Saccharomyces cerevisiae S288C: one gene and its partners. The gene in region 1 interacts genetically with each later gene. Each region holds a gene or a part of one and is shown on either strand. Other genes may lie near its edges.

The links.
Region 2: mutations in SYS1 (region 1) and SEC27 together harm fitness more than expected from each alone (negative genetic interaction), as found in Saccharomyces cerevisiae (4 studies listed by BioGRID).
Region 3: mutations in SYS1 (region 1) and GET3 together harm fitness more than expected from each alone (negative genetic interaction), as found in Saccharomyces cerevisiae (5 studies listed by BioGRID, with this or other methods).
Region 4: mutations in SYS1 (region 1) and COG7 together harm fitness more than expected from each alone (negative genetic interaction), as found in Saccharomyces cerevisiae (4 studies listed by BioGRID).

What each region holds. Positions count from the first base shown.
Region 1 is NC_001142.9:425,797-434,046, reverse strand, and holds SYS1 (Sys1p), read left to right. Parts: upstream 1-1,846; coding exon 1,847-2,458; downstream 2,459-8,250. Other genes in the region: dolichyl-diphosphooligosaccharide--protein glycotransferase subunit OST1, read left to right, coding at 1-826; COX16 (Cox16p), read right to left, coding at 1,047-1,403; CYR1 (adenylate cyclase), read right to left, coding at 2,810-8,250. UniProt on the Saccharomyces cerevisiae protein: Necessary for the targeting of ARL3 to the Golgi. Involved in protein trafficking. May serve as a receptor for acetylated ARL3.
Region 2 is NC_001139.9:245,324-255,618, forward strand, and holds SEC27 (coatomer subunit beta'), read left to right. Parts: upstream 1-4,545; coding exon 4,546-4,563; intron 4,564-4,763; coding exon 4,764-7,415; downstream 7,416-10,295. Other genes in the region: FLC3 (putative flavin adenine dinucleotide transporter), read left to right, coding at 393-2,801; YGL138C (uncharacterized protein), read right to left, coding at 3,171-4,208; MRM2 (21S rRNA (uridine2791-2'-O) methyltransferase), read right to left, coding at 7,574-8,536; 60S ribosomal protein uL1 RPL1B, read left to right, coding at 9,318-9,971. UniProt on the Saccharomyces cerevisiae protein: The coatomer is a cytosolic protein complex that binds to dilysine motifs and reversibly associates with Golgi non-clathrin-coated vesicles, which further mediate biosynthetic protein transport from the ER, via the Golgi up to the trans Golgi network.
Region 3 is NC_001136.10:280,856-284,768, forward strand, and holds GET3 (guanine nucleotide exchange factor GET3), read right to left. Parts: upstream 2,322-3,913; coding exon 1,257-2,321; downstream 1-1,256. Other genes in the region: serine/threonine protein kinase DUN1, read right to left, coding at 1-993; BUG1 (Bug1p), read left to right, coding at 2,564-3,589; U4/U6-U5 snRNP complex subunit SNU23, read right to left, coding at 3,726-3,913. UniProt on the Saccharomyces cerevisiae protein: ATPase required for the post-translational delivery of tail-anchored (TA) proteins to the endoplasmic reticulum. Recognizes and selectively binds the transmembrane domain of TA proteins in the cytosol.
Region 4 is NC_001139.9:484,201-492,376, reverse strand, and holds COG7 (Golgi transport complex subunit COG7), read left to right. Parts: upstream 1-1,829; coding exon 1,830-2,669; downstream 2,670-8,176. Other genes in the region: RPN14 (Rpn14p), read left to right, coding at 421-1,674; calcium-transporting ATPase PMC1, read right to left, coding at 2,935-6,456; YGL006W-A (uncharacterized protein), read right to left, coding at 6,844-6,954. UniProt on the Saccharomyces cerevisiae protein: Acts as a component of the peripheral membrane COG complex that is involved in intra-Golgi protein trafficking.

The DNA of each region.
Region 1 (8,250 bases):
TTTTGAGTTTGGGCCTTGGGAAGATATTCCGAGATTTTCTTCAAACGAAACCTTAGCAATTGTTTATTCCCACAATGCCCCATTGAATCAGGTAGTGAATTTGAGAAGAGATATTTGGCTTTCTCATTGGGCTTCCACAATACAATTTGAGGAATATTATGAATTAACAAACAAAGCCGCAAAACTGTCTAAAGGATTTTCAAGATTAGAATTAATGAAACAGATTCAAACTCAGAATATGAGACAAACTCACTTTGTTACTGTCTTAGACATGCTCCTGCCTGAGGGAGCTACTGATCATTATTTCACTGATTTGGTTGGCCTTGTTTCCACGTCGCATGCAGAACGTGACCATTTCTTTATAAGACCAAGATTCCCAATCTTTGGAGGTTGGAACTACAATTTTACTGTCGGTTGGACTAATAAATTGTCCGATTTCTTGCATGTATCCTCTGGCTCAGACGAGAAATTCGTTGCTTCTATCCCAATTCTAAACGGCCCACCGGACACTGTATATGATAATGTTGAATTATCGGTATTTCTTCCGGAAGGGGCCGAAATATTCGATATTGATTCTCCAGTCCCTTTTACAAATGTTTCTATAGAAACCCAGAAATCATACTTTGACCTAAATAAAGGTCACGTTAAATTAACTTTCAGTTACAGAAATTTGATTAGTCAAGTTGCCAATGGCCAAGTCTTGATAAAGTACGACTACCCGAAAAGCTCTTTTTTCAAGAAGCCTCTGTCTATTGCTTGCTATATTTTCACCGCACTAATGGGAGTTTTTGTCTTAAAAACTTTGAACATGAACGTAACTAACTGAGTTCACGTTTGAATGATATATACCTTATGATGCAGAGCAATAAATTCAGTATTTAATTTTTTATAAGTTTTATAGATAAGAATTTTCCAATGAATAAAGGTATTTACAATCATTTCCTAGACATTCTCGTGGTCTTTTCTTTGCACAATCAATGGTCATAGTTTTTTTTGTTTAGTAGTTTAAGGACAGAAGAATAACAAAGATGTTCACGTTTTGAATGTTACCAGACATTCTCAGATTCATCCTTTAACCTAGCGACGCGCACAGGCTCCCAATCCTCTTCAGAAAGACCTTGTAAACGATAATATTCTTCTTTAATATCAAATTCCCTTTGATTCTTCCTTATTTTCAAGATATCCTCTTCATTAATTTCCTGAACTTTACGATCGCCTTGCTCGTACTTGATCGCTGTAAAGCTTGACAACCAAAACGAACCCAATACTATTGTTGCACAAAATGGTAAACCAAAAAAAAGAAAGGGGTGCTTACTCAATGCTTTTTTGTATCGCCCCGCTAAAGATGCTTCATATACTAGCTGCTGTCTTCTAGACCTAAATTTTTTTCCGCTGAACGACATTTAGGAGACAAATTCTGGTAATATTTCAGTTGTTGACTAATATATATAGTGGTTTTTGCCAAAATTAAAGACTTCCTTTTATTAACTAGGTGACCAGATATAAGGAAGTGTATTTGCTTTCTAATAACTTGTGTACGGCCATAACCCGGCTTTTAATCAGTTTATTTAACAAGGTATACAAATCGCCAAACGTAACAAGAGATAGGCGCTATTATTCATTTAATATTGTCGTATTCAAAATACTAACGGTGAACAATTTGCTCCATTGTAACACTATAGGACAAGGCTAATCATGAATAAATATCTCCCCACCCAAAATATTCGTAGCTCGCGATATTCACGGTAATATTCTGTAACTTCATGTTAAGAGATGATCTTTAGGAAGGCTAAGGAAGGGTACACATAGAAGTGAGATAAAAAATAGGCATTTGAATTACTGTAACATGGTTTCGATAAGAAGGTATTTGCGAGTGCCGAATGAGTTGAAACCTTCCCAGATCTTCAAACAAGATTCTCTCTCTCCAAGTAAGATTGGACTTCAAATTGTTCTTTTACAGATTTTTTATTACACCACAGCGATCGTTCTTTTTTATTGTTGGGCGAAGCTAGCGGGATATGATCTCAATATCAAGGAATGGCTGTTTTCTTGGGAGAATATCGACTTTACGAACGCATACGGTTTATCAATCTCACTGTTATGGCTTCTGGATTCATTAATATGTGTTTTTTTCTTAACTGTTATCGTTGGACGGAGTAAACTCGCATGGGATTTTGCTATCACTATACATGCCATCAATTTTATTGTGGTGTTCCTCTATACTCGGAAATTTCCTTCTTTTTCTTGGTTTTTTCTTCAAATTTTATCATCTTTAATACTAATATTTTTGGGGACATGGACAACAAGATGGAGAGAGCTTAGAGACACCTTTTTTGAGGGCTTGGTTGATCCTAATGAAGGAGAAGTTGGATTGGTTACGCCTAGTCAGCAGCATAGTAATCATTCAGAATTGGAGCAATCACCAATACAACTAAAAGACTTAGAAAGCCAAATATGAGAGGAGATGAAACAACATATTCGAGGCAATTTTGGCAATATTATAGTCATTCAAGAGAAAACAGTAAATGTATGAAAAATGGCAAGAACCTTATCTCTATAGGCTTAATAAATCTGCCTTTTTGGCCAATTTTTCAAAACAGATCCTATTTCTTATTTATACACAATCTATATTTAACATAATTAAGTACGTGATGACATTGAAGATAATAATAAGTAAAGAGTTTACGTACTTAAATTTTATATAGTTTTAGTATACTTGCAATGTGTGAATGGATCTAGTAAGCTGAGGTACTTCTCTAGCGTGAATATGAAACGAGTAACAGGGTGGTACATAATTTACGAACAGAACTCAAGTTGATAAATCCTTTGCGTTCTTAACCATTTGTAAAAGTTCGTCAACAACATTGAAAATATTGCTTCGAGCAGATGTTTTATCGTTTCTGCAAATTTCCAGTCCTGAACACCTCTGTTGTCGTAAATGTAATAATGCCACACTGGATTCGATTCTAGTAATTACATGATCAAAAAATAACAACGCATCCTTCTCAGAAATCGATTGCATAATACCATTTTCAACTTTAGGGTTAAATTTAATATAACTTCCCTCCGTCCGAGAGTCTAGTTCAATAAATCCGCCGCTTAAAGCTGACATTATAGATTCCAGTCTGTTTGAAATGACTCTTAAACGAAACAACATCGTTTCATTGATTAATTTTGACTGCTCATCTTCAGATGCAAATTCGTGTCTGGAAGCAAGAATCTTAGGATACGCAATAGTAACGAGTTCTTTGGTTTCGAGTCCCTTTAGCTTATGCTCGCCAAAGTCAAAAAATGCCCAACCAATACTTTCCAGCATGGCAATTTCTCTTTCAAGAACCTCTCCGATAATTTCTTCACCATAAACTTCCTTGAGAGATTCCTTGCCCTTCACTACTCGCTCATGATACTTCATTATCTTGTTGAATTCAGAGTAAAAATCACTACTCATTGCAATCTGACCACCGTCAGCGACGCCCTGGACCCTTGCTGCCTTATTGACCATCGGCCCCAAATAGTCCATTCTTTGAGTCACTAAATCAAGCTCTGGAACTGGGCAGCCCCAATGAATACCCATTCTAACTGATAGGCCTTGATAGATAATGTTACCATTTCTATCCGTAACTTGGCAGCCGTCTTGAACTGAGGTAATTTCCTCCGGCCATTGTGCATCCAAGAGTTTTAATTGAACACTTAAGCACCATGTCAGACCACTAGTTGGCGTAGGAAATGCCACCATAAAGGCGTCTCCTTCTGTCTTTACTTCGTAACCACCGTAAATTCGTAGTTGACGACGCATAATGTCATTGTGAGTTTTTATTGCGGTCCTCATTGCGTTAGGGAATAGCTCCCATAAGAAGGTTGAGCTTTTGATATCAGTGAAGACCATTGCTAGGTTACCTGTTGGCGGAGAAATCTCAGGTTGAAGTCTTCTTAATGTAGTATCCTCGAAAGTACTTCTTCTAGTCATTAAAGAGTTTTTATTTAAAGTGAACCGATTTTGTTGCTGAATGTTCTCGTAAAGAGCAAGGCACAAAATTGTAATATTCTCTGTACAGCCGTAAGCCATGGCATGATCCTTCAACTCAGCTGCGGCACGGAGTGGATCAGTACTATTCTCACGCGCGATATCACAAACTGTATCCACGTCCATGTATTCCCATAACTTATGCGTTGCTACAATAAGCATCTCGTCTGCTTTTGTTAATGTCACGACAGATATGTCGGGAGAAGCATGAATGTGGGGAAGCAAATCAAAAAAACCCACTGCTCTAGACACATCTACAACACCATCTAATTTTCCATTGTTGACATACCCGCCAGATATTCTGATCCTCTCGTATTCTTCCCGCTTTGTTGGGAGATGTTGTTTGGTTAGCGTTTGGTAGTCACCATTGTTTTTGGATAAAATAGCCATACAGTCACCTAAATTTGCAGCGAAGAGTTTCTTCCCTCTGATATATATCACAGTAGAGCAAGCGCCACTTAGCAAGTCTGCATATGAAAGATTGGCAACATCGGCACCATTATCAACAGAATTTAGCATTCCGTTAATCTCCTTATTCAGTTGCAAAAAACTGAAACGAAGTGCAGTTTTTATATTATCATCTGTTTCGTCTCCATACCTTTCCAGTTGTCTGATCAGTATTTTATCGTAAATATCTCTAACAATTCTTGATATATTGTGGCCATAATCTGCATTTTGGTTTTTACTATCATGAAGACATAGTAAGCATTCGTCGTCATTTCCGCGGAATCTTTCAAAGGTAACATCACGAGATGACACATAGTCTCTTTGACCTAATGTATCAGCAACACCGTAGCGCATCCCATTTATTATTGATGCAGTTGTCCTTAAACGGAAATTGACATTTTCATCCGGTACTTTGGTAGTATTTAAAGTTACGTCCATTAAACCTAGTACCTTTAACTGAGGTAATACTGTCAGATCTGACAAATCAGCATCAATATCGTGACTTATAAATGACTTTATTTCAAACCTTCGATTTCCTGAAAAATTCAAATATTTTAGTTCTTTATTATTCCTCCAGTTCCAATCGTAATGATAGTTTGATATATTATACTTTAATTGATTTGCTCCAACATCAAATACACTTAGCTGTGAGAGATTTGATAATTCTGCAGGCAGAGATAACATTTGGTTACTATTCAACATTAAAGTCTTTAAAGAGCTCCATTTCAAAACTGTATCACCCGACAATGTCGTGAGCTTATTACCGGAGAGGTACAATTCGGTAATGCTCTCAAGTTTCATGTGCGATACATCTGAAAAATTGTTGTAAGAAAGATTTAGCACTTTCAGATTGACAAAGCAATTGAAAAGAGGCCACATAGCATCATCAAATTGATTGTCTGCAGCAATAAAAAACATCAGGCTTTTAGATAACTTTGACCCATATGACATGTTATGGTAAAAAGAATTTTCTAAGCTAGAGTTACCGAATGCATTCGATGAAATATTTAGCGATGTTAGTTCAAGGTTTTCCATACCGTCAACAAAGTCCCTTATGTTGTTAGAATGTAGATCTAATGTCCTCAAACTTTTCAGTTGAGATAGCTCGGGTGGAATATACTCTAGTTTGTTTCTCGCCACTGAAAGGAAAACTAATTTAGTCAACTTGGATATCTCCTGTGGCAGTCTAGTCAAATTATTCTGATTAAGTTCAAGTTTCTCGAGGAAAGATAGTTTGGTGAGTAATTCTCCAGGAATACTCGATAACTGTGCCTTGTTCAACGTCAAACTTGTCATGTTTTTTGGATAAAAATCTTTGAAGGATATAGAAGTGATTGGATTCTCTTGAATTTCAAGGGCTCTTAGTTTCGGCAAAGTGTCTTCAAAGTTCGAAATTCTATTATCTGTTAAAAAAAGGTTCTGCAAGTTAGACGCATTTGTCTTAATTGATGATATTCTGTTATATCTTAGGTTCAGCGTCCTCAAATCTGTCATTTCCGATAAGTCGCCTATAAAATTTAGTTTGTTATGAGAAAGGTTCATCTTCGCAAGCTTTACTAGGTACTTAGTGGACTGTGGTAAGCTTTGGATTTTATTATATGATAGGTCTATTTGTAAAAGATTGGTGCAGTAGTTAATAACTTCTGGGTAGTGCATGAACTTGTTTGAAGACAAGTCTAGCAATTGCAGATTTTTCAGTTCAACAAATCCAGCCGGTAGGCTTTCAAGCTCATTACATTGAAGGTTTAATATCGTTAAATTACTCAGTTTCATGATTGAGTTCGGTACTTTTCTTATGAAGTTTCTCTGTAATTCCAAAGATACTAGTTTATACGCCTTAGTGATATTGGAAGGAAATTTAGATGCTCTAATATTAACCATTCTCAAACTTAATAATTTAATCGAGCTTTCAATGAACTCCAGAGGTAGGAATATATTTGCGTTATTAGAAACGTCTAAACTTTCTATTTCTGACGTATGCTGGTAAAAAATGATGGGAGGTGTAGTCAGATCCATATTCCTTAAATCTACGTGAACAAATTCGCTTCTCATTATTCTTTGTTCTTGTTCAGGAGTAAAGTGAGAAGGTGTGACAGGATGGAAAAGAAACTTAAAAACAAAACTTAAATCCTCTATACCCATAATATGAAGTGGGTCTGACTTTCGATAACCATTCAAAAGTAAAAGTTTTCTTTCAATTAAAATAGGTTTCGAAGTTGGTCTCAAAATTTTTGACAACTTTCCCACCTTCAGGGAAATTTGAAAATTCCCTTGCGCTGTAATGTTAAATTTTCTTTTAAGTGCAGGTATTATCTCTTCGACGGTAGTCGCTGGAGTACATGAGAGAGTCGTAAAAGTGTCATCAGTATTGAATATACGAATAGCATAGTGCCTCTTTGGATCTAAATCACTGAAATCTTTATAGTAATGTTCCAGTTGGCACTCGACCTCATCGTCCTTCTCATCTTGTAGTAATAATCCAGAACTCTGGGCACCATCTGGTGAATTCATATTTACCGAAGAGGATGTAAATTTCTTGGTATACGATTTCGTTTTATTCAGGATCGGTGTTTTATTATCCTGCTCTCGGTTGGCCTCCATATACGCGTTAGTGTACGAAGAGGAATCGCTGCAGGAAGATGTATCTTCTGAACTAATAGATGAGGACGGTAAAGATGAGGAAGTGGAAGACGTGTCGTAGTCCCCATCTAAATTTGATGGAGCATATCGTATACTTGGGGGACTCATAGCCAAATTACTTTTTAAGCGGTTCACAGATTTAGTATCGAGTGCGGTCTTGCTATCATTCGGAACGTTTTCTTTACATATATCAACAAAACTTGAGTTACTGTCACCCGCAGTGACCATTGATTCGTTATCCTTTCGATCGTGATGATGACGAGAGTCTTTTTTTGAAGGTGGCCCCGGTGACATGGGATCAAGTTCATCAGCATCTATACTTGACCTTCTTGATTTCGATCTCCCTTTAGGTTTTGTTTTTTTCCTTTTGGTTTCCACATCCCAGCTTTGAGGTGCTACCCATTGTGATCTATCATTGGAAGTTGATGTGAATTCACCATTAGGTGCTGCGGCAGCGACGGAGAGATCAGCCATTGACACCGACTTCCTAGGACCTTCAGGCATGATCACCGTTTTGGGTGAGGCAGTCTCAGTCCCGTGTGTAGAATTTAGTGTAGAATTGACAGCGGTGGGTGGCACCGTCTTTGTAATATCAGTAACATCCTCAAGGTTTGTATCTAGCCTGAAAAGGGATGGTTTACATGAAATGGGTGTTTCTATAGTAGGCGTTGTGGCTTCGCGTTTGTTGTCAGAGTTAGAATTTTCCGGAATGTTCTCATTATATTCTGGAGTCACTTTCTCGGATTTATTATTAGTGTGATCGGCGGATTCGCTGTTAACGCTGTCCTTACTTTTAGTAGTTGGAGAAACATTAGATACGTTATGTTGGAGAACATGACTACCCGACGTCGCCATACTTGCACTGTCACTGTTAGTCATTGAACTGACATTTGAACCTCTTCTACTGCTTGAAGAAGATGTGGAGCCTAGCAGAAAGCTTTTTCTGTGCGAGCGTTTGCTATTGGGAACATCGGATGAATGTAATGTATTTTCTGATTGCGCAACAGCCTTTGGTCTAATCTGTTTATCTGCAATACCATTATTTATATCATGGACGGAAGAACCACGTACCAATGAGGACACTTTCCTTCGTAAAGTGCTTGGCACGTTATCAGCCAAGTGATTAGATAAAGTGGAGT
Region 2 (10,295 bases), on another chromosome or scaffold:
CTTTAGCTTCAAATAGTTGATTCCTTTAACTGTTGACTATGAAAAGGTAGTCTTCGTTGGGATTGGGGATAAAAGAATATCTGAATACTGTTGCTGTCCGTGCCATTTACTAGCTTACGGACGCTATCAAATTAACTCAAAAACGCTTCTGTTCATCCGCTTTCCAGAAGATCAACGCTCAAAAGACAACAAAACAATTCGAAGACGTCATTCGTTATAGAGTGCCAATCAACATTGGTGGGTACTAGAAAACTTCTTTGCAAAGTATAGCTAAGAAAGGTCTTTTTATTTACGAGCGGGCCATAAATAAAAAAATTTCAACAACAACAACAACAACAACAACAACAACAACAACAAATAGTGGAGACTAGAAAAGTATACCCCTCACAGGCATGAGATTTCTTCAGGTTTATAAATCATCGGCATTAATTGGACTAATAATATTGTTAGCCAGTAAAGTAAATCTTGCAGAGGCAAAAAGGAAGCTGGTAGCCACATCATTGGTCACATGTATGGAAAACTCGCAGCTGTCAGCAAATAGTTTTGACGTTGTTTTCAATCCAGACGACAGGTCATTACATTATGATCTTGATATGTCAACTCAAATTGATTCATATATTTTTGCTGATATTGATGTCTACGCATATGGTTTCAAGATCATTACTAAAAATGTCGATCTTTGTTCAATCAACTGGAAACAGTTTTGCCCGGTTCACCCAGGTAATATTCAGATCGACTCTATTGAATACATCTCCAGTGAGTACGTAAATGAAATTCCTGGTATTGCATACCAAGTCCCCGATATCGACGCATATGCCAGGGTCAAGATCACCAACAATGTGAGCGAGTACCTAGCATGTATCCAAATATACTTCTCAAACGGTAAAACAGTTTCTCAGATTGGTGTAAAATGGGCAACTGCAGTGGTAGCGGGAATTGGTCTTTTACTATCTGCCATCTTATCCACTTTTGGGAACTCTACCGCAGCCTCACATATTTCTGCCAACACAATGTCACTTTTCTTATACTTCCAATCTGTTGTCGTGGTTGCCATGCAACATGTTCATCGAGTTCCGCCTATTGCAGCCGCCTGGGCGGAAAACTTGGTTTGGTCAATGGGGTTAATTAGAATCTCATTCATGCAAAGGATTTTCCGGTGGTATGTGCAATCCACTGGTGGTACGCCTAGCTTATATCTGACTTCAACATCTATGTCTGTTTTGGCTCAAAGAAGTTGGCAATATTTGATGGAGCTCCCATTAATCAAAAGAGCTACCAATGTTTTGTATGGTAATGCAAATACATTAATTTTTAGAGGAATCAAAAGGCTAGGCTATAAAATGGGAATCGAAAATACGTCCATCGTTTGTACCGGTTTTACTTTCTTCGTCTTATGTGGATATGTGTTGGCTGGATTTATCATAGTATTCAAATGCTGTGTGGAGTTAGCCACCCGGTTAGGATGGATCCAAAAGGCAAGGTTTTGGGAATTCAGGAAACAATGGAGAATGATCTTAAAAGGTGCTCTTTTAAGATATATTTACATCGGTTTCGTTCAGTTAACAATTCTCAGTTTTTGGGAATTTACTGAAAGAGATTCACCTGCTGTTATCGTCATCGCATGCCTTTTTATTCTTTTGTCATGTGGGTTAATGCTTTGGGCTGCATGGAGGACTGTTTTTTTCGCAAGAAGATCTGTTGCATTGTACAACAACCCAGCAGCCTTATTGTATGGAGATGAATATGTCTTACACAAATACGGATTTTTCTATACAATGTTCAATGCCAATCATTACTGGTGGAACATTGTTCTTTTATCCTACATTTTTGTAAAATCATTATTGGTTGGATTTGCTCAGGCTTCTGGTCAAACACAAGTTCTTTTCATGTTCATATTGGATTTGTTTTACTTCGTTGCTATTATCTACTATAAGCCCTATCTGGACCGTCCAACAAACATAATGAATATTTTAATTGCTACTGTTACTGTAGTTAATTCCTTTCTATTCATGTTTTTTTCGGACTTGTTTAACCAAAGCTACAAAGTGGCTGCTATTATGGGATGGATATTTTTCATTATGAACGCTGCATTTTCGTTCATTTTACTAATGATGATATTGGCATTCGCTGGTATGATGCTTTTCTCAAAGAACCCCGATCTAAGATTTAAACCTGCTAAGGACGATAGAACTTCTTTCCAAAGGAACACTATGAAACCAGAAGGTACTGTTAATAGATCAGTAGCGAACGAGTTGCTTGCGTTGGGCAATGTGGCAAAAGACCATGACGACAATTCAGATTACGAATCAAATGATACTGGTGTGAATGATGAGCTAAAGCAAGCACAGGATGAAACCACTCCCACAACCGTAACATCAAGTGATGATAACAAGCCTACGTTTTCAGAGAAAATATTAAGTAAATTCTCTAGGCCTAAGAATGAAAACGCAAGCACAGATGCTCTGAGAGTTGAAGCTCCAAAACAACAAACGTTTCCTCACAACTTAACGAATCTTTCACGAGAAAACCTATCAACATTAGGCTCTAAACCTTATCCAGGACACACAAGATCACAGTCTGATGCGCATAATGGACTGATCAATTCCTTTGAAGAGGAAGATACAAGTTCAAATACCGATCCATTTCACGACTCCACTGAAGGAGACCTTTTAGATACCTCAAGTTCGGACGGAGGATTTAGGTCGCAAAACTATGTTCGAGATGACAGCATAAATAGTTTGGGAAACAATAAACAACCACTGAGGAAACCCCCTGGATTCTTCGATGAAGGATTTATGTGAGTCTTTACGATATACAAAAGTTCTGCTCCTATCATAAAAATTTTTAATTTTACAGGTTTTTCTCATTCTCCTTCTAACCTTCTAAATTCTGTTTTTGTCAGAAGTTTCCCAAGTTTTCTTTTTCATTAATAACGTTAAAACACTTTGTACCAGTTTGCTTAATATGAATTTTTTTAAAATAGATAGCTTTTGTTATCTTTGTTTCTATGTTGTAATATCCCAGTTTGTCATATTTTTAATACTCCTCGTGTAACAACAAATTAAAAAAAAATAAATACTTAAATTAATCAAGTTAAATAAACTAATCGAATCAAACAAACAATTTATTATAAAATTATGTTTTTTCATGAATAGGAATGTGTAAGTTGTTCAGTTCTTAAGAGGTATCTTATTTTTTAACATCTTTGAGATCTTCCTCCTCAAATATTTCCTTCTTGTAATATTTCCACTATTAGAGTTTCTATTATGTGCGGCTATCGCTCTTATTAGTGCATCATGAGGCCTTTCTATGTTTTGCGCAATCCGATTTATTGTACGGTCTAGTTTTTCATGAAAATTCGGGACATTTTCATTCCCAGAGCTATCATATTGCTCCATAGGATTTATTTCGTTTATCCAAGACATTTCTTTGTTTTTAAACTTTCTTAAGTTTTTATAGCTCTTCCAAAACTCCGAAGTTAAGGATTTATATTCCAATTCGTTTGATATGTTCTTATCTGAATGGATGAGCATCTCATATTTGGACATAGGAATACTTAACGAATGTAGATAAGGTACCACCTTGGTGATTCTTCCTTTAATTGACCAAGATATTTTGTAATCTCTAATATCATCAGAAATAATAGGCGTTAATGGAATAGTTTCAAAATTGTTCTGAGTGGGGGGATGCGTCTTTGAAGAATTGCAAACAAATACGAATCCAACAAATTTATTAGGAAAGTAAAGGGTTACATTACGCTGTGTATATTTCTGCACCCTTGCAAACTTGAAACATACTGAGCTGTTTTGGGAGATAGTATCATCCTCCTGGGCTGGAATGCATAGTGGTTCTGCCCAATCTAAATCCTTTTGAAAGGGTAGAATATGATTCCAAATTGGCTTTCCTCCTTTACAAAAGGTCACTTGAAGAAAATTATTGATTTGCAAGGGCGCTACCTGGTATTCATATTGTTTTTCAATTACAAAGCCTGTGTACAAAGTACTTTGTTTTTTGTATTGTTCGTACTCCTGCTTCAAGTTCTGTAACTTGTCACCTTTAAGAACATTTAAGAAGAACTCTGTCTGGAAATTTTGGTCTTCGAACTTACACACATCATGTCCAGGAAATGAACTTTTTCCTTGAACGAAAGTGCTCTTAAATAAGGTGTACGTTATAAAAAAGAAGAAAAATTCTAAAAAGTTGTACATTCATCCGAGGAGCACTTTGGATATTATAATCTATTTTTAGTTTTGTTGCTTTGTATTGAGCTGTATAAAAATCATTAGATCCACATTACTAATTATTGAATATGGACAATAATATCAAATATATTATTATCAAATTGATTATTTTGTGACGCGGCGTCAAATTTTAATCGCGTCTGACGAATGAGCGGGTAATAAACTGTCTTTTTTTCATGAATGAATCGAGCTGGCATTAGGAACATGTCGTGTAAGATTTGGGAGTAAATAACAGAAAGCTGCAATAAATGGTAGCTTGTAATGGTGAATTAAGACACCCAATCGAAACAATTATACGGACACGATGAAGTTGGATATAAAGGTATGTTACCAGAGCGCGTTTTGCCAATGCAATTGCGAACAAGCTCCGACAACTCCTATGATTAGGAAATGATCTCGTTCGCGAAGAATACAAAGCCTGCAAAAAGCAAACATTAAGATTAGTTACTAACAGGAAGATTTTTGAAATAAATGCATTTGCTCTTGGCATTTCCTTTATTTGACACTGTACATTTATGATAGAAAACTTTTAGTAATAGATCCGATCGAGTTAAAGGTATCGATTTCCATCCTACTGAGCCATGGGTTTTGACTACCTTGTACTCTGGTCGTGTTGAGCTTTGGAATTACGAAACACAAGTTGAAGTTAGATCCATCCAAGTTACGGAAACTCCTGTTAGAGCAGGTAAATTCATTGCAAGAAAGAATTGGATAATTGTTGGGAGTGATGATTTCAGGATCAGAGTCTTCAACTACAATACAGGTGAAAAAGTTGTTGATTTCGAAGCTCATCCAGACTATATCCGTTCCATTGCTGTACATCCAACAAAGCCTTATGTTTTATCCGGCAGTGATGATTTGACAGTCAAACTATGGAATTGGGAAAATAACTGGGCCTTAGAACAAACTTTTGAAGGTCACGAACACTTTGTCATGTGCGTCGCATTCAATCCAAAGGATCCTAGTACGTTTGCATCTGGGTGTTTGGACCGAACCGTTAAAGTTTGGTCATTGGGACAATCGACACCAAATTTCACGTTAACCACAGGACAAGAAAGAGGTGTGAATTATGTTGATTATTACCCGCTACCTGACAAGCCTTATATGATTACTGCGTCGGACGACTTAACCATCAAAATTTGGGATTACCAAACGAAGTCATGTGTAGCCACTCTAGAAGGTCACATGTCCAATGTTTCTTTTGCTGTTTTCCATCCAACTTTACCCATTATAATTTCTGGTTCCGAAGATGGCACTTTAAAGATATGGAATTCTTCCACTTACAAGGTAGAAAAGACTTTAAACGTTGGTTTAGAAAGAAGTTGGTGTATCGCTACCCATCCAACAGGACGTAAAAACTACATTGCATCCGGGTTTGATAATGGGTTTACCGTACTTTCCTTGGGAAATGATGAACCAACTTTATCACTTGACCCTGTCGGTAAGCTAGTATGGTCAGGTGGCAAAAATGCCGCAGCTTCAGACATTTTCACTGCCGTCATAAGAGGTAACGAAGAAGTTGAACAAGATGAACCATTATCTTTACAAACTAAGGAGCTGGGTTCCGTTGATGTTTTCCCTCAATCTTTAGCCCATTCTCCAAATGGTAGGTTTGTTACAGTTGTTGGGGATGGTGAATACGTTATTTATACGGCGTTGGCTTGGAGAAACAAAGCCTTCGGTAAATGTCAAGACTTTGTTTGGGGCCCCGACTCCAATAGTTATGCTTTAATTGATGAAACTGGGCAAATTAAATACTACAAAAACTTTAAAGAAGTCACATCATGGTCTGTCCCAATGCATTCTGCTATTGATAGATTATTTTCAGGTGCCTTGTTGGGTGTGAAGTCTGATGGCTTCGTCTATTTCTTCGATTGGGACAACGGTACGCTAGTTAGAAGAATTGATGTTAATGCTAAGGATGTCATTTGGTCCGATAACGGTGAGCTGGTGATGATTGTCAACACCAATAGTAATGGTGATGAAGCAAGTGGTTACACATTATTATTCAACAAGGATGCTTACCTTGAAGCAGCAAATAATGGCAATATCGACGATTCAGAAGGTGTTGATGAGGCTTTTGACGTATTGTATGAACTAAGTGAATCCATTACATCAGGCAAATGGGTTGGTGATGTCTTTATCTTTACCACAGCAACTAACAGGCTGAACTACTTCGTAGGTGGAAAGACTTATAATTTAGCCCATTACACAAAGGAAATGTATCTATTGGGCTATCTAGCACGTGATAATAAAGTATATTTAGCTGACAGAGAGGTCCATGTTTATGGTTACGAAATATCTCTAGAGGTGCTGGAGTTCCAAACATTGACTTTAAGAGGGGAAATTGAAGAAGCCATTGAAAATGTACTCCCAAATGTTGAGGGTAAGGACTCTTTAACAAAAATTGCTAGATTTCTGGAAGGTCAAGAGTATTATGAAGAAGCACTGAATATTTCCCCTGATCAAGATCAAAAATTTGAGCTAGCCTTAAAAGTCGGCCAACTTACGCTTGCTCGCGATTTGTTGACAGATGAAAGCGCCGAAATGAAATGGAGAGCCTTGGGTGATGCTTCCTTACAAAGGTTCAATTTTAAACTTGCTGTTGAAGCTTTCACAAATGCACATGATCTAGAATCTTTATTTCTATTGCACTCATCTTTTAATAACAAGGAGGGGTTGGTCACTTTAGCTAAAGATGCTGAAAGGGCCGGTAAATTCAATTTGGCTTTTAATGCATATTGGATCGCTGGCGATATACAAGGCGCTAAAGATCTTTTAATCAAGTCTCAAAGGTTTTCCGAAGCCGCTTTCCTTGGATCAACATACGGTTTAGGAGATGATGCAGTCAACGATATTGTTACAAAATGGAAGGAAAATTTGATACTCAACGGTAAGAATACTGTATCAGAAAGAGTTTGTGGGGCCGAAGGTTTACCAGGCTCTTCGAGTTCAGGAGATGCCCAACCACTCATTGACTTAGATTCCACTCCAGCCCCAGAACAAGCTGACGAAAACAAAGAAGCTGAAGTTGAGGACAGCGAGTTTAAAGAATCCAACTCAGAGGCAGTTGAAGCCGAAAAAAAAGAAGAGGAAGCTCCCCAGCAACAACAATCAGAACAACAGCCGGAGCAAGGAGAGGCAGTGCCGGAGCCTGTGGAAGAAGAGAGTTAACCACCTCATAGAAAGACAAATAAAGAACTAATCAACGAATGAGAAAACATCTTTAATGGATGGTAAACATATATATATACAGATGTACACTTTTTATTTTTATTGCGATAGGTGTGAAAATGAACGTGACTTGAAACTTTGCGCGCAAACAAATCATATTATGAATTACTAAACACGTCCAGTTTATCTACATTTCTTTTCTTCTTTAATCCGATATAATAGGTCTCCTTTGATTCGTCTCTAGAAGCGTCAGGCTTGAACTTATGAACGTTAGTGAAAACTGCCTGCATTCTTTTTTTAAATAGGTTTTCTTCTTCGCCGGTGTATAGTTTACAAACAAACGAACCTAATGGCCGTAATAAATCTATAGCCGTAACTAAGGCTGCGTCACATAAATCAATAGATTGGTAATGGTCTCTTATACTGACACCAGATGTATTAGCCATCCTAAAATAAGCTTGATTAGTAATGTTGTTCCAAAAACCGGTTGTTTGGGGCCAGGGTTCATACATATCACTTATAATCACATCAACTGGGAATTTTTCTCGTTCTATTAGGGTACTATTCGTATTCGGAGTTTCATAAATGTCATCAGAGGTGAAAATTTCACGGTACAATTCAGTATCTTTCACATGGGTTAGCTCCTCCTCGAGCATGTTCTGGAAATAGCCATGGTCCTTATGCAAATCATCGTGTCTGTTCAATTGGAAATGCTTAGAAAAAAAGAGCCGTATAAGATCATGAGTTCTTTTGGCCAATATATTAGCTTGAATAGAGTTCACACCATGCGGAGGTTCACAAGGGAGAATGTCAACGCCCAGTATCATTGAATTAGGTGAACTTCTTTGCCGTGCTACTTGGGACCAAGCCCCAGGGGCATACCCAAGATCTAGAATTCTCTGATCGGTCCTGTTTTTGCTAAAAAGCCGATATTTATCATCAATCTGCATAAGCTTGAATGCGGCTCTAGACCTCAGATTTTGGACCTTGGCCTCTTTTGTGTAGGGATCCTTCAGTTGTCTATTCAGCCATCTGTTTTGTGAGTTAGAATTATACCGTACATGTATTCGACCTAAAGAAGACGATATTATACTCCTGATACGATTGTACACTAAAATCATGCTGTAATTTTCCCGTCAGTATGTGTAGTCATTACTTCAAACCTCGGATAAGCCCATCTTGATGGCTACGACTTCCATCTATATCAGAGGCTGACATTTTTCTCTCATTGACGGAGACGCCCTTTAACCGGACCTGATCATTTTTAAAAGAACGCCAGTAAAAGAGATCTTACAAATACCAGAGAAACGGTATTGAACCTTCTTCTTTGATTAGAACAAATTACTTGATCTTCTTTTTTAAAAAAGAACTGAAAAATCAAAAACGATACATGAAGATGGTATGTAAGTTAGCTAAATAACTTGCTTAATTTCAAGAAAGGGGACTGTAAAAAATTCAGTTTACTCTACCATTATCTCCATTAACATATCAACTTTTAGATCGCAATGAAGAAGACTGCGTTCATAAACCTTACCTCATAAGGCCAAACAGCTATCAGCTTTTGGCAAAAGTTGAATACGGACATTTTTGAACCCATACATCTTTCAATATGCACGGGTGCAACCTCAAATATTTAAAGTTTTTTTTTCCTGAAACTTTTTTTTCGCACACAATAATGCCATAGACATCTTTTGGCCTCAGATTGGAAAGTCCGAGGAAGAAAGACGCAATCAATGGGAAGAGTGTTGTATTTGGATTAAGATATGTAAGTACATCTTCGCAGCACTTCTTGAGCATTACGTTATTTGGTAACCTCTTGAAGTTTCAGGAAAGACTCCATAGAACTAGTCGCAAGCCTCACGGACCACCAAATACTTTGGAAGACTAATTACATATCATAAAATGTCTAAGATCACCTCTTCTCAAGTCAGAGAACACGTCAAGGAATTGTTGAAGTATTCCAACGAAACCAAGAAGAGAAACTTCTTGGAAACCGTCGAACTACAAGTCGGTTTGAAGAACTATGACCCTCAAAGAGACAAGCGTTTCTCTGGTTCTTTGAAGTTGCCAAACTGTCCAAGACCAAACATGTCCATCTGTATCTTCGGTGATGCTTTCGATGTTGACAGAGCTAAGTCTTGCGGTGTTGACGCTATGTCCGTCGATGACTTGAAGAAGTTGAACAAGAACAAGAAGTTAATCAAGAAGTTGTCTAAGAAGTACAACGCTTTCATTGCTTCCGAAGTTTTGATCAAGCAAGTTCCAAGACTATTGGGTCCTCAATTGTCCAAGGCTGGTAAGTTCCCAACCCCAGTTTCTCACAACGATGACTTGTACGGTAAGGTCACTGATGTCAGATCTACCATCAAGTTCCAATTGAAGAAGGTCTTGTGTTTGGCTGTTGCCGTTGGTAACGTTGAAATGGAAGAAGACGTTTTGGTTAACCAAATCTTGATGTCTGTTAACTTCTTTGTTTCTTTGTTGAAGAAGAACTGGCAAAATGTTGGTTCCTTGGTTGTTAAGTCCTCCATGGGTCCAGCTTTCAGATTGTACTAATCACTTCCGAGCGATTAATACATATCTCCATCTTTTTAAATACCTTTTTTAATACGTATGACTCTAAGTAGTAAAAGTATTATGCATAGTTTTAGCCAGATATTTTTGGGCCCGGAATATATCTTTTCGGGAAGCTCGGAGTATATTGCACCGATCCGATTCTTACTCCATATCATGCCATTTTTCTTTCCTTTCTCAGCGATGTTTTGTAGGAAATCACTTAGAACTTGCCTTACTTTAAAAGCATGTTGAGTGAATTTCACAGATCGATATGCTTTGGTGTTCAATCAGTTCAACCATACCTGCTATTATATAATCTTCGAC
Region 3 (3,913 bases), on another chromosome or scaffold:
TGGCTTGATGTCTCTGTGAATGATGTTTTGCTCATGCAGATACTTCAATCCGGTAAGTAACTGTTTGAATAGAGCTTTGGATTCATCCTGTCTCAAACATGTTTTTCTGACGATTCTTTCAAATAGTTCGCCATCGTCGATCTTTTCCAGTACCAAATATTTTTGAATCTGAGATTTGCTGATTGGCTCTACAAAACTATCTAGTAAGTTGACAATGTTTGGATGTTGCACTCTCATTAGGATGTTAGTTTCCTCCCTAAATTGTTTATTCTTTTTTTGGTCGTCATTTTGCTGAGCGTGGAATATTTTCACAGCTACTTGCTGACCAGTTTTTTTGTTTTTGGCTTCTTTCACCAGGGCGTAGTGCCCTGCACCTAATTCTTTACCTAATAAATATTTATCAAAGAACGACACAGGCCTTGTCTTATTCAGTTTTCTAATTGCGGCACTCGTTGTAGCATTTTGGCTACTTGTAGCACTTATTTGCGGTTTCTTGAAAACTTCGTCGTCGTTCTTATATGAACGACTTTCTGAACTTACCTTTTCATCGTCATTTTCGATGTCAGTAGAAGATGAAGATGCGTACTTGAACAAAAAGGAGCAACTTTTGCCAAAGACAATTCTGTCACCATTCTTAAGGATGTAGTCTTTCTTCACCAAACGATTACCATTAATAAAAGTTCCGTTTCTGCTCTTATCGATAACATTAATCAAATTTCTTTGGAAATTATCCACATCCATTTGCAGTAGATGAAACTCAGCATGGAAAGTCGAGATGTCAGGCTCACTCAATATAACGTCGCACGACCTACTTCTACCGATTGTAGTAACGTTTCTATTTGTTATTTCCACTTTTTGCTCCTTTCCGGGTATTAAGTTCACCAGATGGCCCAGACAAGTGTATTCTGAGCTGGGCTTATTACTTCGTTGCTGTCTTTTGAATGAAGAGTCAGTTACATCACCAGAGTGCTCTCTTTTCGTGGACAAACTCATCTTCACTATAATTGCCTTTTTTACTGTATGTTAAGCCCCTTTACTTGTTACTCTCGACTATAAAGGGTTCTCATTTCCTCCTTTTTCAACAATATCTAATAATTTTCCAAAATCATTTGAAAAATACCATGGAAATAAAATGGAAAAAAGTAAACAAACGCGTCGCGTCACGTAATTTTTTTCTTTTCACACACATACCATCGTATTACTATTTTTTCTATGGTTATATGTCGTATGTATCTATTTATGGTATTCAGGGGCTTCTATTCCTTATCTTCTAACTCATAAATGACTTTGCCATCAGTAATAGGGTTATATTCTTTGTTTAGGAACTGTGAGAACTTTGTTAAGTTATTTAAGCCTCTGATTTCTCCAGCACATAATGGCATTTTAACGACATGGAAATCTTCGTACAATTCGTCGATTTGGTCCAAGTACTTCTTTTGCATCTTCCATCTTGCCTGACATCTCTTACAGTTGTGCTCTTGATCGTTTTCAGCAAATAATAATTGGTTGACAATGATGGAATTAACGTCCATATCGTAGGAAATCAATTCCTGAATTAGTCTTTCAGTTTCATATAAGGATAAGAATTCACTGATACAAACGCAAACAAAAGTCGTTAGGTCAGGATCCGTGAATTGTTGTCTGATGGTCTCGACATTAGCCTTTAACTCGTTCAATTTTCCAGAGATATCGACATTACCTGCGCCCATAAAAGAGTTTAGCATTGGGCCCAATTTGTTGGTAATTTCACCGAACTTTTCCAAAAGCTTGGATAAAGTATTTGGTAGTTGTAGAAATCTTAATGTGTGGCCAGTTGGAGCAGTGTCAAAAATAACAGTATCGAAGGTTTCACCTTCGCCCTGTTCTTGCCTTTTAATGTGCTTCATGACTTCCATGAAGGATAAAGCTTCGTCGATACCAGGGATGGAACCGGTCAAATCAGCAAGAGCACCACCTTGAAGCAAGCTTCCTAGATCGTCACCTTGACCGTCACTTCCGTTATTGTTAGCGCGTGAAACTGCCATGTCGTTCATATCCTTCAAAGCAGCGGATGGATCGATTTCCATACATGATAGATTATTCATGCCTGTCACCTTTCTGGCGTCTTTACCAAATTTCTCACCGAATGCATCACTTAAGTTATGGGCAGGATCAGTAGAGATCAGTAGGAACTGTTTGTTTGGTTGACTCAAAGCCATTTGGATAGCAATGGAACATGATGAAGTAGTCTTACCAACACCACCTTTACCACCAACGAAAATCCACTTATGAGTGGTAGAGGTAATTAAAGAGTGCAAATTAGGTTCCACGGTTAAATCCATAATTACAATGTGATGATCTTCTTGTTCTTGTCGTACGTTTTCCTAAACGCTGCGTTGGCTTCCCTCAACTTGTTTGAAGTTGCCACCGTTTTATCCATTTTCGCTTTTGAAAAAAAAAAAATGGTTGAGAATCCCCAGCACTATTAATTAGTACTATTGTTACGAAGATCTTGTGATAAAAAAGGGATGTAATAATTTGCATTGAACCAACCTGAATTGAGCAAGTTTATCATATAGTTACAATGTCTGAACAGGAGTCTGATGAAGTTAAGCGTATGAAACAATTGGAAGAGGCTAGAAAGAGAGTAGAAGAATTGAAGAAAAAGAAAAATAAAAAGAATAAAGGTAAGAAGAATAAAAATAGCAGTGCCACAGGCTCTATAGGATCTGAAACTCCTGATTTAGAGGGCACACCAGGCGAAGAGTCCACACAGGAGGAGACTGTGAAAGCAAATTCCACCAAAAGTGAAAACAACGATCAAAATGACGTGGATGAGGAGAGTGAAGAAAAAGAAATAGAACAGGTTAAATCAGATCCTTCGGGCACAACAGAAAAAGATATTGAGGAAATAAATAGTACTTCATCAAATGTGGGAAAGGATGATGCAGAAAACACAAAAAAAGAGGAAGTTCAAGAAGTTATAAAAAATAACAACGATGAGCAAACAGCAGATGCCGGAAAGACCATAGAACCACAAGAGGAAAAGAAAATTGTACAAACTCAAGAAGGAAACGAACCTTCAAATACATCAGAAGCAGCAGACGATTTATTTGCCAATGACGGCAATGAAGAATCTGACTTTCTCACCACGATTAAAAAGCAAAAAGAAGAAGATGAGTTGACCAAACTAAGGGCGGAAAATGAGAAACTCACACAGGAAAATAAACAACTGAAATTTTTGAATATGGAAAATGAAACTACTGTCGATGACCTACAGGATCAATTGCAGGAAAAAGAAGACATCATTAATGGTTTACAAAACGATTTGCAAACCGCAAGGGATGAATTAATTGCCGCAGTAGAAAAATTAAAATTAGCAGAAGCTAAGGCAGCAAGAAATACCACAGCAACTCCTATTCAATTTGCGGATTTCAACACTTCAAGCAATAATCTAACTCCCTCACAATCTGTAACCAATTCTGGTACGCAGGTGGCCCACGGGAATAATATGGAAGTGGATCGCGTTATGCTGAACAAATGGCGCCAGTGGAACGTAGACATGACCACTTGGAGAAGTATTGGTTCTGGCCCAATAATGGAATTTTGAGAATGAATATTTTCGCGTATATATTTTAATTAAGGGTTTATATACATAAAAGATATATCTAATGATCTGATCTGAGTCCCGACTTTTTATATGTGCTCTATGCTTGTATTATGCTCATTTATCTTTACTTGGTTTCTCATTTTTTAGAGGTGGCAAAATTGGAAAATCCCATCATTTGACTGACTTTTGATTCACTCTCAATAGAAGGCTTAGTAGCCACTTTCTTTGCTTTCTCCACATCTGTGTCCAAAAGCCTTTTCCTCTTGGACTGAGTCTCCATAGAACGCACCTCTACAAAATCCTTTATCAAGTTATGATAGCACA
Region 4 (8,176 bases), on another chromosome or scaffold:
TATAGTTCTACTTACACCTCACTCATCTAACAAGGTCGGTTGATTAGTTCAATTGTTTCAGTGAGAAGATTTTAACGATAACACTTATGTACTAAGGTAACGTACCTACCAAGCATACAAAATACGTAACAATATAAAAAGAGACGGTTAATAAGTTCCGTTAAAATTTCGTCATCCAGTTATTAGAAAACTGGATGGAACCTTTTTCTTGCACATTAAAAATGGCATTTGTCCTTGTCAGGATTTGGGAATAAGGCTCAGTTAACCTTATTAACTTTTGTGATGTTTTTAACATGACATATTACAGGCGTCAGGATGGGCGAATAATCTAGAAATCGGCAAAAGAAGCTTCGAAAAATTAAGTTTTCAACCCTAAGAGCAGAAAGTAAAAAGAAATAGCGAAGTACAATAGAAACGACAATGACTAAGACCATCACAGTTGCTCATATCCAGTATGATTTTAAAGCTGTTCTGGAAGAAAATGATGAAAATGACGATGAATTTTACATCAATGTTGACAAAAACCTAAATGAAATCAAGGAGCATAAGATAGTAGTGTTAGGAAATAGCAGGGGTGTAGATGCAGGCAAAGGAAATACATTTGAAAAGGTTGGCTCCCACTTATACAAGGCGCGGTTGGATGGACATGATTTTTTATTCAATACTATCATAAGAGATGGTTCAAAGATGCTCAAGAGGGCGGATTATACTGCCGTAGACACAGCTAAACTTCAGATGAGACGGTTCATATTAGGCACTACAGAAGGCGATATTAAAGTATTGGATTCAAATTTCAACCTTCAAAGAGAAATTGACCAAGCTCACGTTAGTGAAATAACAAAACTAAAGTTTTTTCCAAGCGGTGAAGCTTTGATATCTAGTTCACAGGATATGCAATTAAAGATCTGGTCAGTAAAAGACGGCTCAAATCCTCGCACGTTAATTGGACACAGGGCGACAGTCACAGATATTGCCATAATAGACCGAGGAAGGAATGTGCTCTCTGCCTCTTTGGATGGTACAATTCGCCTTTGGGAGTGCGGCACAGGAACGACAATTCACACGTTTAACAGAAAAGAAAACCCGCATGATGGTGTTAACAGCATAGCGCTGTTCGTAGGGACAGACAGACAATTACATGAAATTTCTACTTCCAAGAAAAATAATCTAGAGTTTGGAACATATGGAAAATATGTGATTGCTGGTCACGTTTCTGGTGTTATTACTGTACATAATGTATTTTCCAAAGAGCAAACTATTCAACTCCCAAGCAAGTTCACATGTTCATGTAATTCATTGACAGTCGATGGCAATAATGCAAACTATATTTATGCCGGATATGAAAATGGAATGCTAGCTCAATGGGATCTAAGATCACCGGAATGCCCAGTTGGTGAGTTTTTAATTAATGAAGGCACCCCAATAAACAATGTCTACTTTGCAGCCGGAGCCTTATTTGTATCTTCTGGATTCGACACCAGTATTAAGCTTGACATTATTTCAGACCCAGAAAGTGAACGGCCCGCTATTGAATTTGAGACGCCCACCTTTTTAGTTTCCAATGACGATGAGGTCAGCCAATTCTGTTACGTTTCTGATGATGAATCAAATGGGGAGGTGCTTGAAGTTGGAAAAAACAACTTCTGCGCTTTGTATAACTTAAGTAATCCTTAACCTCTTTCGTACTAGTAACTTTTTCAAAAAAGTTCACTTCGCTGCATGAGCTTGGCGTAATGCGCTTTGAGGGTGATAATGCATTTTATTTCCATATGAAATATGTCTAAAATAGAACAATTCACTAAGAACAAGAAGGCCAAACTAAGCAGAATATGGTAGAGTTGACAATTACGGGTGATGATGATGATATATTGAGTATGTTTTTTGATGAGGAGTTCGTTCCCCATGCATTCGTTGATATACTCTTATCAAATGCCTTAAACGAAGATCAGATTCAAACGCAATCAGTATCCTCATTGCTATTAACCAGGTTGGATTTTTACACAAAGAACCTTACAAAAGAGTTGGAAAGCACCATATGGAATTTGGATAAATTATCTCAAACGTTACCAAGAACTTGGGCATCTTCTAGGTATCACAAAGAAGCAGAACAGAACGATTCCTCATTGTATTCTACTGAATCCTTAAAATCATCGAAGCTTGAATATTACTTAGATACGTTGGCAAGTGCTGTAAGAGCATTAGAAACAGGAATGCATAATGTAACTGAGAAACTAAGCGATCTAGATAACGAAAATAATCGCAATACCAATGTGAGGCAACAACTGCAAAGTTTAATGTTGATTAAGGAGAGAATTGAAAAAGTGGTATATTACCTGGAACAAGTTAGGACCGTTACGAATATTTCGACAGTTAGAGAAAATAATACAACCAGCACGGGGACAGATCTTTCGATAACAGATTTTAGAACATCATTGAAAGCATTAGAGGATACAATCGATGAATCTTTAAGCTCTGCGATTGATAACGAGGCTAAAGATGAAACAAACAAGGATTTGATTGGGAGAATTGATTCACTTTCTGAACTGAAATGTCTGTTTAAAGGCCTAGATAAGTTCTTTGCTGAGTATAGCAACTTTTCGGAGAGCATAAAATCAAAAGCACAAAGTTATTTATCAACCAAGAATATTGACGATGGTATGATATCATAATCGGTGATAAAAACAAAAAATTTGCAATTAACAAAAGAAATTTATAGCATGTTTAAATTCTTATTTCTTTTTACCATTTCCAGTCCTTTTGGTCCACTTGTAATGCATAAAAGGGTAAAAAGGAATTTGTTTAGGAGGACATGCTATTTCAGATAGTTTCTTTTTATTGATTATATAATATAGTGTACAATTTTGAAAATATAACTATTACACACATCTTTTCATTTGGTCACTTACATTTGTATAAACATATAGAGCGCGTCTATTAATAAAAGGCGGTGGACTCTGGACTATCAGATTCCTCCAACAGCGCTTCTTCATCGTCGTGTTTTCCAGTATGGTTTTTTCTGAGGAACTCGAGTCCAAATACGTACTTGAATCTTTGAACGAAAGCAGCCGGAAATACCTTCACTGCTACTTCATCGGGGCAGATTCTCACTAGCACCCCCATGATTAGAGACAACATACCACACAGTACCGCGGTTATCCACATTGATTTGGTTTGTCTGGCAATAGAAAATGGTGCGCCACCAAAAAACATGATTAAAACTTGACAGCTGCCAATGATCGCCATGATCGTGAGAAAATAATAGTTTCTACCCAAGTCTTGGAAGAAATTCAAATTGGCGGCAGAAATCCTGCCTCTCCAGTTTGATATACCATCACCTTCATCTAATTTTCTCGATACTAACATGGTAAAAAATTGCAACCAAACAAAAGTGTTGAATGTCATGGCATTCAGTTGCTGCTGTTGGTGACTTGTTATTTCATCTTCATGTTTCTTGAAGAATAACTCTGGCCCGTAAAAATGCAAAATGAAAGTAACTATCAACTGCAATGTAGCTTGTGATAGAATCATTTTCCAAGTTGACACAGAAATCAAAGAAGTTGAGCGGCCCCTAGGTTTTCTGTCCATGATATTTGGATCGGGTTTATCAGTGGCTAAAGCTAAAGCTGCTAGAGTATCCATGATTAGATTGATCCATAACAGTTGGACCGCCGTCAGTACTGATGTTTCATCACTAGATGCAACGGATGAAACGAACGTTAAAATCACTGCGGTGATATTAACAATTAATTGAAACTGTATGAACTTTTTTATGGAGACTGAAACACATCTTCCCCACTTAATAGCGTTGACAATAGCTGAGAAATCATCAGTCATCAAAATAATGTCAGAAGCCTCTCTGGCAACCTCCGTACCGGAAATACCCATTGAGAAACCAACATCAGCTAGCTTTAAAGCTGGAGCATCGTTCGTACCATCGCCAGTGACCGCAACAACATCTCCCATCCCCTTCAATGTTTCTACTAATAACCTTTTATCCTCAGGCGAAGACCTTGCTAAGACCCTTAAATTTGGCAGGATTCTTATACGTTCGTTTTTCGTTAACTTTCTGAATTCAGTGCCTTCCATTGCAGAATAAGCCTCTGAACTAATATCAGTAGAAAGAATCGCACAATTCCTCGCGATTGCTTTTGCTGTTAATATATTGTCACCAGTAACCATACGCACAGTTACACCAGCACGTTGGCACTGTTGTACTGACTCCCTAACGCCTGCACGTAAAGGGTCTTGAATCCCAAGTAAACCATCTAGAATTAAGCCCTTTTGACTGTTAAATAGCAAGTCAAGAGCAGCTATATTTGGTGAGTCTTTATCACGCAGCTGTTCAGGGGGCCAGCTATCACATTCGCAGAAATCTTTGTGGGCAACACTTATGGCTCTGAGAGCATCGGACGCAAGATTTTTGATTTCATCATCAGTTTCTTTTTTATTGTCCTCATTGATTTCTTCCAAAGTATCATCTGAATTCCTCTTGTACGAACAATTCTTGGAAACAATTTCTGCTGCACCTTTAATGAAAAACCTGTAAAATGGTTTTTTATTTTTGCCTTCTTTGTACTTTACCACTAAGCCGGCCCATTTACGAGAACTTTCAAACGGAATTGTTTGAACAACTTTTTCGATATTAAACTTTTCCATCGGTTGATCTCTCAAATATTGCAATTCTCCCGGTTGTAATCCTAATGATAATCTTGCCAAACTGAGTAAGGCTGTTTCCGTTTTAGAGCCAATAAAGGGTTCTTGCCTACCCTTGTTGACATTTTTGAATAATTGATCCTCGTCATCTTCCCTGTTGCCTTTTTTAAAAAACGATAATCTAGATTTACACTTATCTAAAAAACTCAAATTTTTTGACATATTTTTACTACCATTTGTATTTTTATCGTTTTTCTTATAATCTCTGTTTTCGAAGGCGGTAGAATTCAGGACAATATTGGCTAATAAATCATTTCTCAAGGATGACGAACAATTTTCTTCAAAAACTTTCTTAGAATTCAGCTTCCTTTGTTCGCTAACGGGCAACGATTTACTATCATCAAATTTAGAATTGCCCGGGAAGCCACGAACGACAGTCATGACATTTTCTGTCAAAGTGCCAGTCTTATCAGAGCACACTGCAGTAGCAGATCCCATCGTTTCACAGCTTCTTAAAACCCGTACTAAATTACCGTCTTTTGTCATTCTTGTTGTTGCAAACGCTAAGGCCAAAGTTACAGCTAATGGTAAACCTTCCGGAACAGCCACCACAATAACCGTGATAGATGTGATAAAAATGTTCATAAATTTAGAACCCTTTTGAGCGGGATCTAGATCATGGAACCTGCCATCCTCAGGTATTATGTAAAATAAGTACCTAGTGAAAAGGACCAAGAAAAGAATTATAGCAGACACGCAACCGTAAACGGATATATTATCAGCCAATTGGCTCAAATGTAACTGTAATGGAGTACTTTCAGGTTCGGCATTTAATGAAGTCATGGTTTGACCGTAAACTGAGTTTATACCCACGGACGTGATGACACCCCTGCCCAAGCCAGAGAGAATTCTGGAACCTGAAATCAACATACAATCAGCAATCTTGTTACCGTCTTCGTTAACGTCACCTATATCTAATGGTTTGCTATGGTTATGACTATCGATAGAATTAAATTTTTTGAAATCTCTTAATGAGTTATCCACCGGAAATTTCTGTATTGTGTTAGATTCACCAGTGATGGATGATTCATCTGCCTCACACTTCCCTGATATCATAACACAATCAGCGGGGACAACATCACCGGTTTGTAATGAAATGACATCACCGACTAAAACGTGGTGAATGGAAATTAATATTTCCTGATCATTTCTTATGACTATAATTTTACGGTTTTCCTTCTTTTTATTTAGCTTTGCAAATTGCAACTCCTTCTGGTAATCGTTAGCGGCACTCACTAGAACTACCACAAAGACCGCAATCATGATAGCAACCCCTTCAATCCAGTCAACTTGCTTAATTTTATTTCCTTCAGGATCATACTGTGGAGGTTGCATCCATAGTTCGTATAGACCTAAAACAAAGGAAACAACAGCGGCGACTGTCAGTAATTGCATTGTTTTGTCATTAAAAGCAGCCCATACTAATTGTAAAAAAGACTTTGGTATTCTTTCAGGAAGTGAATTATCGCCATAATTTTTATACCGGTTTGTCTTTCGATAATTTGATATTTCTGGAAGAGAAATGCCTGCATTTTTATCTGTTTTCAAGTATTTGAAGAGGCTGTTAGACTCATATCCAAATAATCTGACAAATGATCTTATTGATTTAGGGTTATGAAGATCCGAAAGTTGACTTTTTGATAATTTGAAATTATCGTAGACTCCGTTCTCATTTCCCGTATACGATGGTTTGTTATTTTCATTATTCGCTAGTAAAGCAGAATTTTCGTCTTGTCTAGACATTATTTTTTTTGTTACGCACACAGTTTTTTTTTTTTTAGAACCACTTTTCTAAACTTTATTTGTTCAAGTTTTATTTCTTTAATTCAATGTCGTATATATGTGATACAATTCTCTTAATACACTTAGTTTTTACTGGAGGCGCATGAGTTTTTTGACGTTTTCTTAAGCCTTTCTATTGAATGAAAATTACCAGAAAAGCCCCTTCTTCCTCAAATTTATGAAAAAATGTTTATTCTTAACCTAAGCCTTCTCAATTGAATCGTGCCAACCTGACTAAAATGTAGTTTGGGGAAGTGAAAAAATCTGAAGAGATTATTTAATTTTTCGTTAAGCCTGCAATTTATTTTGGTAATAATTGCTAGAAAGAAATCGAATATTTAACGCAATTCAAATAAAGCCTTTCCTTGGGGGGGGGCTGATACTATTTGAATGTTTTTGGAAGGCGCCCATTAAATGCAATGCCAAGTGGCGATGATAATGAATTATGAAGATTAGCATTTGTTTAAAAAGCGTGGAGGGCGCTTCTAGGGCCTGAGCCTCCTAATTTTCTTTTCCCCCTGACAAATGATGGAGAAGCTTCTTTGCCGGGTAAAAACCCTTTTTTTTTATCTTTTCTGCGGGCGGATAAAGCTGTTAGTGCCACATGTTTCTATACAAACTGTATTAAAGTAAAAAAATTAATAGACAATTTAGGCCCCTCAAATGGGTAAAATAGAACATATATCAGTATGCACAGCTCACTATTTTAAAAGCGGCAGGCTTGGAGCTGTAGGACCACACTACTGCGACAAAAAAAGATAAAGTTGTGTTTTATTTATGTTTTGCCGTAAGATCGATACTTTTCTTATTCTCATCAAGAAAACACAAACTGCCAAGAACTAAGAAAAGAAGAGCCGTAAACAATGCTTGTAAACCGAAGTATGAAAAGAAAAACTTGATAATTAAATCATCCCCTTTGGCTCAAATATTTATTTTGTATTATTCATGCTTGATTAGTTTAAGAGTGAACTTTACTATCTTAATTTTATTTTAGCCTTTTCAGCTTATGGCACAATAGTGAAAACAAGATCATGTTAAGTTCTGTACCAGAAGAGAGAACCGATAAATAGTTTAATAAGCAGATCAATGCCAAGAATAAGATAAAACAACTATGGAGACTGATGTAAATATACTTGAAGCCGGGCAATAATATAAGCACCGTGAGCCGATTCTCCTCGATCCTACACTGCACCATATAACGAATGGTCTTGGACTATGGAAGGCAGTAACCAACAACAGAAAAGAGAGATTAATTAGAAAAAGACATTTCTCGAGAGAAAAAAAGTAAAGACCTTATCGTACAACTGTTACTGACATTTTTATTTTAAGAAGCTAAACCCTTATTATTAGCGCGCCCAAGTAGGCGCAAAACTAGAGAAGTCGCAGATGCATCCACCCACTTTTTGCCTTATTTTTCCTTAATTTCAGAAATATAGTTAAAATGAAAAACAAGGACAAGAAAAGAACGGGAAAAAGAAAAGGGGGATTAGCAAACAAAGAAAAGTCCAATAAAATGATTACAGACAGCATTGGATGCGATGAGATGGCAACCAGCGAGATGAGAGCATAGGATTTTCATCCTAGCTGCTTTAGGGAAGACGCACAAAACTTTGTTATGTTTGTAGTAAATATAGAAAAGAAAACAAAAAAGTGCTCGGACGAATCCGGTAGAGCTGTGTCT